Ovis aries: one gene and its partners. The protein of the gene in region 1 purifies or fractionates together with the protein of each later gene. This does not show direct contact. Links are inferred from orthologs where the notes say so. Each region holds a gene or a part of one and is shown on either strand. Other genes may lie near its edges.

Region 1 (3,500 bases):
GGTCAGTGCACGCGCCAGAGCCCATGTGGACGCCCACGTGCCCGTGGAGCTCCTCCTCGGGCCTGACGGGCGGCTGTCCCTGCTCTCCTGTCTCGGGGCTTCCGCTGACCCCTGGCTTGAAGCAGGTCTCCCTGCCGTGGTCAGTGCCGTCTGGGTAGGTGGACAGCGAAGCAGACCTGGGTGGCCAGAGGCTGCTCTCTGATGGGCCAGAGAGTTGCTGTGCTTTGCAGCACATTGTCTCTGGTGGAGCTCCTCGGTCACTCTGGCCCGAATGCTCACAGATGCTGGCGTCGGGGGCCCTGTCACACTCATGGTATAAAAGGCCCTTCTGGAAAGTCCTCAGACCGGGCAGGAGCAGCACATGGCTGCACCGGACCTGCAGGCTATGCCGAGGGTGGGCCTGTGTTGGGGGCATCCCCGCCCCCGGGGGTTGAGAGCACGGGTTGTCCTAGCTGAGGTTCACACCGAAGGGCGCGCTTTGGAAGCAGTCCTTGTGCTTATGAAGCCAGGGGTGCGGGGCCCAACGAGGGCGGCCCTTGGGGACCACCTGGCTCCTCTCTGGTCCCTGCTGAGCGTGTGGGGGAGGCCAGCAGTCTCTGGAGCTTGTGGGAGGCCCTGACCTGCTGATTTGCCGTGTTTTCTGTGCACGTGTGTCTGGGGGATCAGGCCACAGGATGTGCTTCGGTGCCTCCTGGTGACCCAAATGCGTCCTAACCATCCTGTTGATGCAGGCTGGCCCAAGCCTGCCATGCCAGGCACCATCTGGGGGTTCCCTGTGGGTGCGGTGGTGTCGTGACTGTCCTGTAGTACAGGGTTAGAGCTGGTGCCTCACCCCTGTACGCAGGCCTGCCTGTCATCCTTCCCTTGTGGGAGCCTGGCTCTCACTGTGGCGGGTCTCCTCTCCTAGTATTTGCCTCCAGTCTCCATGGAGGGCTGGGGCTCCAGCCACAGTGACTGGGGAGTGTGCTTCCTGGGCTGTGGAGGGGGTAGGAAGCCAGATGCTGCATGTGGGTGAAGCATTCTCAAACCAGAGAAGTTTCTCTGTAATGACGAGTTTTTTTTTTTTATTTAATTTTCGCCGTGCGAGTCTTTGTTGCTGCTTGAGGACTCTCCTTAGTTGCGATGCTTCTTGTGGCAGTGGCTTCTCGTGTGGGGCTTGAGGGCGCTTGGGCTTCAGTTGTGTTCTGTGGGCTTAGTTGCCCCGAGGCAAGTGGGATCTTCCCGGGCCAGGGATCGAACCCTTGTCTCCTGAGTTGGTGGGTGGATTCTTAACTACTGGACCAACTACTGGACCACCAGGCAAATCCTAAACACAATATTTTGATTTTCCTTTCTACTCCAACGAAGAAGTCGAGTTCACAGATTATTGAAGGGGTGAAAGTGATAGTCCCTTAGTCCTGTCTGACTCTTTGCGACCCTGTGGACTGTAGCCCGCCAGGCTTCTTTGTCTGTGGGATTCTCCAGGCAAGAATACTGGTGTGAGTTGCCATTCGCTTCTGCAGAGGATATTCATGAGCCAGGGATCAAACCCAGGTCTCTTGTATTGCAAGCAGATTTTTGACCACTGAGCCACCTGGAAAGCCCCAGGGAGACGCACTTAGTAAAATTCAACAGATGCTTTTGGTTGGAGAAGAAACAGTTCAGGACCCTGGATGGAAGGGGCACGGCCTGTGGCCGTGCACCTGTGTGGCCCGGTGGTGTCTGCAGGCCAGGCCAGTAGCTGGGCAGCTAGGGCTCCTGCTGAGGCGGTGGCGATGCTGCGGGGCCTAGGGAGGCTTCAGAGCCCATGGGGGCTCTGGGCACCCACGCCAGCCCAGAGCCTCTGTCTGCATCGCTCGATCTGGCGTGGGCCCTCCTGGCAGCCTCAGCACGGCAGGCTGGTGGTGGCTGGGACGCGGCCTGCCCTTCCCCGTGCTGGGCCGCCTGGAGTTCGGCGGCCTGTTGTTCTCATCCGCCCCCGCTTCCCCCACCAAGAGCCTTGCTCCGGGCGGAACGCTGCCCCTCTGGTCCTCCGGGCTACCGGCGCTGGGTCGAAGAGGTGGGCCAGGCCAGGTGGCTGGCCGCAGTGGGCCCTGAAAGCAGTCAGGAGCAGGCCACGGTGTGGGCCCCGGGGGCTGGAGGACAGCGCTGCAGAGCCTGGTGGGCTGGGGGGCGGGGGCGCTCAGCAGGGGGTGTGGCCAGTGGGTGCCTGGTAGTCCTGAGGCCTGCTCTGTTGAGGGGCCCCCACCGGACGTAGCTCAGTGCTCGGGGTGGGCACAGCCCAGCCTCACGTACATAGAACACTGGGCCCGAGGTCCCACGGGACCTGGCCCAGAGGCATGGGGGTGGGCAGGCCCGGGGAGTTGAGGCCCCTGGGGAGCCCTGGTTAGGGGGTGGGGGGGCAGGAGCTCTGAGCTGGGGCCCGAGGGGGAGGGGAGGCCGTGGTTTGCGACCCTCCCTGGGGGCTGAGAGCTCCCCCAGCTTGGGGCGAGTGTGGTTGCTGACCTGGCCCATCGTGCGGCTGTGCCCGCTGGTGTCGGGTGTCGTGAGGAGGGGGCTGGCAGCCAGGCGGGCCCCCCTGGAGACAGCCCCCAGGTCCCCGTCATGACCGTGCCAGGAATCGCAACCTGTCTGCTCTACTCCCCTCCCCCCAGGAGTCGTGTCCACCGTGGTCCCGGACTCTGCGCACAAGCTGTTCATCGGGGGCTTACCCAACTACCTGAATGACGACCAGGTAGGCCTCTGCCTGCCCCGAAAACTGATGGCACCGTGGCCCGACCCCCGGCCCCCACCCCCTGCCCCGCCCTGCAACCTGACTGTGCCCCGGCCCACGCAGGTGAAAGAGCTGCTGACGTCGTTTGGGCCGCTCAAGGCCTTCAACCTGGTCAAGGACAGCGCCACCGGACTCTCCAAGGGCTACGCCTTCTGTGAGTACGTGGACATCAACGTCACGGATCAGGTGAGCCCGGCCCCAGCGCGCCCGGCCCTGCTGGGGTCTCCCCTCAGGGCGGGGCGCGGGGCTTGCAGCTCTTCCCCCTTTGCCGTGCCCTGTCTGCCACGCAGCCTGCTCTGACCCCGACCACCTCTCCCTGCCCCGGCCCCTCCCCCGCCCCACCACAGGCCATCGCGGGGCTGAATGGGATGCAGCTGGGAGATAAGAAGCTGCTGGTCCAGAGGGCGAGTGTGGGCGCCAAGAATGCCACGCTGGTGAGCCCCCTGGCACGTCATCTTCCATTGGCTCGGGGCACTGGGGGCGGGGAGGGGCTGGGTGCTGGCGGGTCCCCCCACACCGGGGTTGGGCACCCCGTGACCCCTGCCTCCACCCCTCCACAGAGCACCATCAACCAGACCCCTGTGACCTTGCAAGTGCCCGGCCTGATGAGCTCGCAGGTGCAGATGGGCGGGCACCCGACAGAGGTGCTGTGCCTGATGAACATGGTGCTGCCTGAGGAGCTGCTGGACGATGAGGAGTATGAGGAGATCGTGGAGGATGTGCGAGATGAGTGCGGCAAGTATGGGCT
Region 2 (3,500 bases), on another chromosome or scaffold:
TTCTTCTATATATTCTTTTGGTTAAAACACAAGTTCTATGAGATTTTCTCTACTTTACCTTTCTGCTTTTCATTCCGTAAATATTGCATGTCTCTTTTAGGCTCCTGGTTATAATAGATGGTCTGATGTATTACCATGGTGTGTCTGGTTCCCAATTTTTAGGTGAATATTTTTTAAAATGGGATTTCTAGTTCATGCTTGTTGCTGAGTTGATAAATCATTATTGTCTGTTCAGGATATTTTAGTCTAAACTGTATTTTTAAGTTTTTTTTTGCCTTGGGTATTTTTAAACATCAAAATACTAAATTTTAAAGCTAATTATGGAGAGCATTAATCCAGTAATTTCTTTTAGAAGACGTGAACGATCAAGAGAAAGGGATCATAGTAGATCACGAGAAAAGAGTCGTCGTCATAAATCCCGCAGTAGAGATCGCCATGATGATTATTACAGAGAGAGAAGCCGAGAACGAGAGAGACACCGGGACCGGGACCGAGACCGGGATCGAGAGCGTGACCGAGAGCGCGAGTATCGTCATCGTTAGAAGGTGGGTATTCCTTGTTCCTGTTGGTTTTAGCATACCTATTATTAATAGTAATTATAACTCCAAGGCTATTGTTTATACAGTATATACCCACATTTTATATCGTCCAACTACTTGTTCTGAATTTAATCTTCTGGAATCATCTGAGGTAAATGACAGGTGAGTAATGACAGGTAAACATTTTGACCTCTTATCCTTAAATATTGCTTGCTTGAGTTAACAGCTTTTAGGTTTCAGACTGTTAATGATCCTAAGAAAGCAAGAAAATAATCAAGAGGACTCATTGTCTACTTCTAAAATCTAAAAATTGGGATTCTCTTAATCACATACATAGTTTGCGTGTGATTTAAAATATAAAGGATGAATTAATTCTTACTATAATATGCTTGGACTTAAAATAAATTTAAAGTTTCTCTCCTTGAACTAACTTTATTTATTCCTAAAAATTTTATAGACAATCTGACACTTGTTGCTAGTTGGAAGGTGGTTTGTTAGCATTGAGAAAAACTTTTTTTAAGAAAAGACACTTTTCCTGCCATCTGGGCTTTGTTTTTAAAAGAAAAGAAACAGTATTCTTTGATTTGCGAAGAAGATAAGAAAGTTACTCAGTTAAAATGAATTCAGATATTCCATATAGAGAATTTTAAGTTGTATCAAATCATACATCTCAGGTTAGAATAACCTTGAAGTAATTTTATTTGATGTTTCATTCATAAACCATAATCATTGTCTTTTTTTTTCTGTATTTAAAAACTATTGTGTACATTTTTCATAAAGCGGGAAGAGTTGTCTGTTTATACTTCATTTTCACGTGTGATTTTATTTTTATATTTGTGAACAGCATTATTCATGTGAAGAGTGGGAGGAGGGCACTGTAAGGCTTGTGCATGTGACACAAAAGTTATTCTGTAAACAGAATTCTTTTCTTCATAGGTTGGTGGCATATCCAAATTAAATTAGACTAAAACAAATCCCTTATAGGTTACTATTCTTTACATGATTCTTTTCCATAACTAAAATTGGGAAATACTGAAAATTCAGTAATTATTAGTGTTTAAATTGTTATGAGCAAAACCAAAGACTTGCATGTAATTCTGTGACAGAGTAGCAGTTTCTTTAAGTAGATATATTTTAACAAATGAGATCCTTTTTTAAGTAATACTACTTAGAAAACAAGCAATGTAAATCTTATTTTTGTGGTTTACAGATAAGTTATATTATTTACAGTTTTAAGAGCTTTTTGAAGGGAAAAGGCAAATTTTAATACTTTTCCTTGGATTTTGAATATGCATCTTGAATATATAGTAAACTGTAATTTAAAAATAGTTCTCCATGTACTGTATTATAAACTTAATACAATTTTCAAAACATTTTAATATAAGGCAAAATATTTTTTACTTTTAAAACTAAGCTTCTTGGAATTGATACTGTTCTTGGATGTAAGAATTGAATATTGTGTCATGTAAAATTAAACATTAGATTTTTTAGATGTAGTCCCCTTCCTCTCCCCAAGTTGAATGGGCCTAATCCCATCTTAAAAAAAATTCCCAGTGCTCATCAGTTGCTTTAGGTGAATTATGGCCACTTTAGTGAAATGCTTAATGTTCATCAGCCATTTCATTTAAAGTAAGATACAGGTCCTTCAAGTTATATTTTTACTTAGACTTTGTCAGTTACCAACAAGCTTCTAGTTAACTGGGGTCATGAGAATGGAACTTGCATAGCTTTTCAGTCTTCTCCAGGACTGGACATGCCCATTGGGGGCATTCTGAACCAGTTTATATCCAAAGTTAATTAATAGGCTTTCTTAATAGTTTTAGTTAAACTAGCATAGATAAATAGGTAAACTCTTTCTGAAAAGTCCATTGTTAATTTTAAATACCTTGAATTAACTAACATTACATTCCAGTAATGGGTACACCTAACTATATCATGGTTTGAGTTTCATTACATTCAGACATTAACTATGAATTCTTAACTTGCAAACTAAATATTGTTGGCATTTTTTCTTAATCGCTGATGTGTACCATACCAAAATTCCCATGTTTTGTTTGTACATTATAATCAGAATTGAGTTGTAATATTGTTATGTGCCTTCATCCAAGCAAAATTTTACATACGCATTTCCAGTGCAAAAAATTTTGTTAACCTGGAATATTGTACCTTTGCTATATACCAAAAAGTATTTATTGCTGATGTAGACATGGAATAAATGGGATGGGGAGGGAATTGGGATTAAATATATCCAAGTGAAAAACTTTCTTAAGCAAATAAAAACTATTTGCACATTTAATCACCATCAAAATAAGGTCTATTGACCTTTTTTAGAAGTTTTAAAATATGAGTCCTTTTGAACTTTTATGTAAACCTTAAATGGACTAAATGGAATAAGAGTAATTTTGAAGCTGAAGTGAATGTCACTGTTAAGTCTGTATACAAATAAAACAATAATGTGACCTATTATTAAAGTGATGAATGGCTAAAAGGGCAAGTTCTTAATTTAACTGGAAACTTAATGATGTTGGCAAGCTGTTAATGTCTGTCCCATCTTAATTTTTTTGTGTTTGAACTGTTGGTAATGTTAACTGCATTCTCTCATTTAAAAAATGTATTAGTTTTTCTAAAAGCATTTAATATCTAAGTTCAAATATATAATATTTTAATGAGAATATCAATATTGTGAATTTCAGCATGTAAATATATTGTGCTTTATATTCTGTAATTTCTGCCTCAATTCTCAGGCCACTCTGAGCAAAACAAAAGTAGTTCAGTGTTTTTAATATTGTATGGTTTTTACAGAAAAAATTTTATTTTCATAGTTATTTTCTTTCATGTTTCTGTTATTACTTGTTGGGAACAACGCTGCTTAGCAAATTTCTGTTAATGGTTTTGCTTTTGTTTGTATACTGAAGATTAATGAAAGGATATTTAAGAAATACTTTCTATTCATGCTTTTCG
Region 3 (3,500 bases), on another chromosome or scaffold:
TGGAGAGGAGCTCAGAGCCGGTCCCAGCCAGGGGATTGCTGCCTCTGCTTGCTCCGGGAGTGCTGGGGCATTAAGATAAAATTTCCTTGTCGCTCTTTTTTAGGACGATTCGTTACCTACCTGGAGTGTCTTCGACTGTGGGCATCCCCCGGTGTTCTTTAAGGTGAGCTATTTTAAGAAAATCTCTCAGTTTATAATTCATTTCTTGATGCAGAAAACTTCCTGAGTTAAGATTTTTTTTTCACTAGCTGTAAATCTAACGTTGAGCAGAAAGCCAGCTCTTATTTTCACAAGTTTTATTTAATATTCTAAGTACTGAAAGTCTGCGAAGAATCCAAATCTAGAGGATTCTGAGGTCAACAGTAAGGATATTGCTCTATGTATTAGAAGTACATATGTGTTTTGGAAAAGTGCTTTTTTTGCTTTATAATTTCTGTTTTGGGCACTTTAAATAATTCTTAAATATTTGTTCTTTTATGCTTCCTGTCTTCCCCTCCCCCCTTCTGCTTGTCTTTTTTAACCTAACCAGACTGCCATATTCTAGAAGGTAGTGTTGGCCCCACGTGGCCATCAGTTAATCTCTTGCTAATCTTGGGCCTGCTGTGCTGGGGGTGGGACTACAGTGACCTACTGAACAGATAAGTCTGTTGCTACTAGCCTCTCAACGCAGTTGCAAAGAGTTTTAAACAAATTATGAATTGTTTCCCTAGAATGCTCTGGGATCATAGAACTATAGATTTAATTTGCGGGGGGTGGAGGGGGGAGAAAGTCTTGTGGAAAAGTTAAATTTAAGCTGAGAGTATAAGGATTAGTGGGATTTAGCTAGACAGAAGATTGGGTGGGCTATCTTCAGACAGATAATTACTACATGTGTCAATTCCAGTGGAACAGAGAGCCTGCCACATTTCCGGCACAGAAATACAGGAATAAAGGTTTGTTTGCTTTCTAATGCAAGTGTGTTTCAGGTCAAAGTTTCAAGGCCTGAGCACCCCCTTGGCCCTATGATTTGTGTTCCAGACAGTGGGGAGCCACTGAGGTGTTGAAACAGTAGAATGACATAAAATTACACTCAAGAGAGCTACAGATTGGGCTGGTAGGAAGGACTGGAAAAGTTGTAGATGTGAATGTCTTGGAAAGGGCTTGTTGGTACTGGAAGTAGAAAGGGATGAAGGTGATGCACAGAGATGATGATGATTTGATATTCAAGCAGTATGCTAAGGACCAAGATAGGAGAAATCTCTATACTTGCTGGAGTCAAGAATTACTGAATAGAATTTAGGCATGGATTAGGAGTAGGATTAGGGTGGAGAATGGGATCACCCCCCACAAGGAAATAATGAGCTCATTAGATTTAAGGGCTTGCAAGTTGTTCAGAGATTGCTTCAGTTTCATTCTAGAGCCTTTGGATGGCAAGTAAGGCCATTTATGCTTCAGGATACTATAGAAGAGTTTCAGAAAAAAGTGGTGTTGATTTGTGGTACATAGGTTGAACTATGGAATGGAGTTTGTCTAGGCCAGTCTTGGCCTCGGGGAAATCTTAAGTCTAGGAACCTGTGTGTCCTGAGCCCAGAATTGACGCTGGAAATACAAGGATCAGGTGAGGTTACCTGCAAAAATGGGGCCAGTGATTGTGTATGGTTAAACCTTGGTGAAGGACTCAAAGAGGCAGAGTACCTAAGGAATTAACAGGAAAACCAAGAGCCAAGAGGAGAAAGGATTTCCAGCGAGAATGGTTAAATCCTGTGGGCACAGAAGAGATGGAGATAAGAAAATGTTTCTTTTCTTGCCATGGAGATCCTTGGCAGAGTGACATGTGCCCTAGTTTAATGGTAGGGTAGGGAAGGACGTGTAAGAAGCCTTTTTGAGGATGAGATTTCACTGAAAGGGAAAGCAAAGCCAAGTAGCTGGAGGCAAGTTGGTATAAGGAAAGATAGTATCCTAGGGGGTGATTAGAAATGAGAAAATCTCCTTAATTGATAAGGAAAGTAGTGTTCAGTGAAGTTTGTATGAAGATGGAGATTCCTTGGGGTGGGTGGAGTTGACCAGGGCAGAGCCACAGATAAGAGCTCAGCTACAGAAGAAGCAACTCCCTTGTTTATAAATTTCTAGAACTTGCTCTGATTTGCTTCACCAGGTCTCTGTTAAACCAGTTTTCTTTTCTTTTTCTTACCATTCATGCTTTCTGGTTTTGTGGGGTTTTTAGAAATCTGTCCATGTTTTGCTCTAATAGTGTAAATATGTCATGCCATTTGAGATAGTTTTAGGATTCATCTGAGGTAAGATTCTGTTTCATCTTTCTGCGTGATAATGTGCCTAGATTTTTTTGAAAAGGCACCTTTTACCACTGACTTAATAGCTACATCTGTTATACTTGATATCAAATGGCAATTCGATAAAACAACTTTTGTATACTTGTGCCTGTTCTGAATATATTTTTGGCCTTATCTGTATTTTTATTGTCTGTGTTATTCGTATATTGGTGTCTGACTCAGCTCCTGCTTTTCAAAATGCTGCCCTTCGACATGGATTTGACCTTTACTCTTTTTTCAGCTTGGACTCTGGGTGTCAGATGCCACTTATACTTCATGGCACTTTGTCAGGAGGGGCACCTGTCATGCCTCTTGTACAATGAAGAGTCTATTCCATTTCTAGTCCCTCAGTGAAACACAGCGATGTATGTGTTGCATTGAACAACGTAATGTGTTTTATTTTGTTTTTTGGGGGGGGGGTCATGCTGTGCTGCTTATGGCACTAGGGATTGAACCCAGGCCATGGCAGTGTGAAACTGAGAGGCATATAGTTTGATTTCTATGTTTGCATCTCATATAACTGATACTCTGCTGATGGACTTACGTGTTTGTTTGGATATGTCTTAATTTTACCATGCGCTTGATTGGGGTTTTGAGTAGACAATAGGACTTCTCACCTACTGTCTTGCCTTTTACTTTAGTGATTGCAGTAATGCAGTCTGTTTTCCTTTAGTTTCATATTCTTGTTAAACATATTAAATGAAAATTTATGTAGTCTTTGCTTTCTTTTCAGCCACACAAAGCTGCACCCGGGCTTGTTTGACGTCTGCTCTGTCGAGTGTCCATGATGTTGGGCCCTGAGGGAGGTGAAGGCTTTGTGGTCAAGCTCCGTGGCCTGCCCTGGTCCTGCTCTGTTGAGGATGTGCAGAATTTCCTCTCCGACTGCACGATCCATGACGGGGTCGCAGGTGTTCATTTTATCTACACTAGAGAAGGCAGGCAGAGTGGTGAGGCTTTTGTTGAACTTGAATCAGAAGATGATGTAAAATTGGCCCTTAAAAAAGACAGGGAAAGCATGGGACATCGGTACATTGAAGTGTTCAAGTCCCACAGAACCGAGATGGATTGGGTGTTGAAGCACAGTGGTCCAAACAGTGCTGACACTGCCAACGATGGTTTCGTGCGACTTCGAGGACTCCCGTTTGGATGCACCAAGGAAGAGATCATTCAGTTCTTCTCAGGGTTGGAAAT

What was found. Proteins that work in one complex are often made in the same cells at the same time.
Region 2: the proteins of U2AF2 (region 1) and CPSF6 fractionate together in Homo sapiens (co-fractionation; 3 studies listed by BioGRID, with this or other methods). This does not show direct contact. The link is inferred for Ovis aries from reciprocal best matches to the Homo sapiens genes U2AF2 and CPSF6.
Region 3: the proteins of U2AF2 (region 1) and HNRNPF fractionate together in Homo sapiens (co-fractionation; 3 studies listed by BioGRID, with this or other methods). This does not show direct contact. The link is inferred for Ovis aries from reciprocal best matches to the Homo sapiens genes U2AF2 and HNRNPF.

The regions. Positions count from the first base shown.
Region 1 is NC_056067.1:62,662,731-62,666,230, reverse strand, and holds part of U2AF2 (splicing factor U2AF 65 kDa subunit), read left to right. Parts: intron 1-2,633; coding exon 2,634-2,713; intron 2,714-2,815; coding exon 2,816-2,938; intron 2,939-3,099; coding exon 3,100-3,198; intron 3,199-3,312; coding exon 3,313-3,500. UniProt on the Homo sapiens protein: Plays a role in pre-mRNA splicing and 3'-end processing. By recruiting PRPF19 and the PRP19C/Prp19 complex/NTC/Nineteen complex to the RNA polymerase II C-terminal domain (CTD), and thereby pre-mRNA, may couple transcription to splicing.
Region 2 is NC_056056.1:150,756,531-150,760,030, reverse strand, and holds part of CPSF6 (cleavage and polyadenylation specificity factor subunit 6), read left to right. Parts: intron 1-100; coding exon of another isoform or gene 101-191; exon of another isoform or gene 192-206; intron 207-352; coding exon 353-542; 3' UTR 543-545; intron 546-625; exon of another isoform or gene 626-3,500. UniProt on the Homo sapiens protein: Component of the cleavage factor Im (CFIm) complex that functions as an activator of the pre-mRNA 3'-end cleavage and polyadenylation processing required for the maturation of pre-mRNA into functional mRNAs.
Region 3 is NC_056078.1:13,135,149-13,138,648, reverse strand, and holds part of HNRNPF (heterogeneous nuclear ribonucleoprotein F), read left to right. Parts: intron 1-103; 5' UTR 104-3,093; coding exon 3,094-3,500.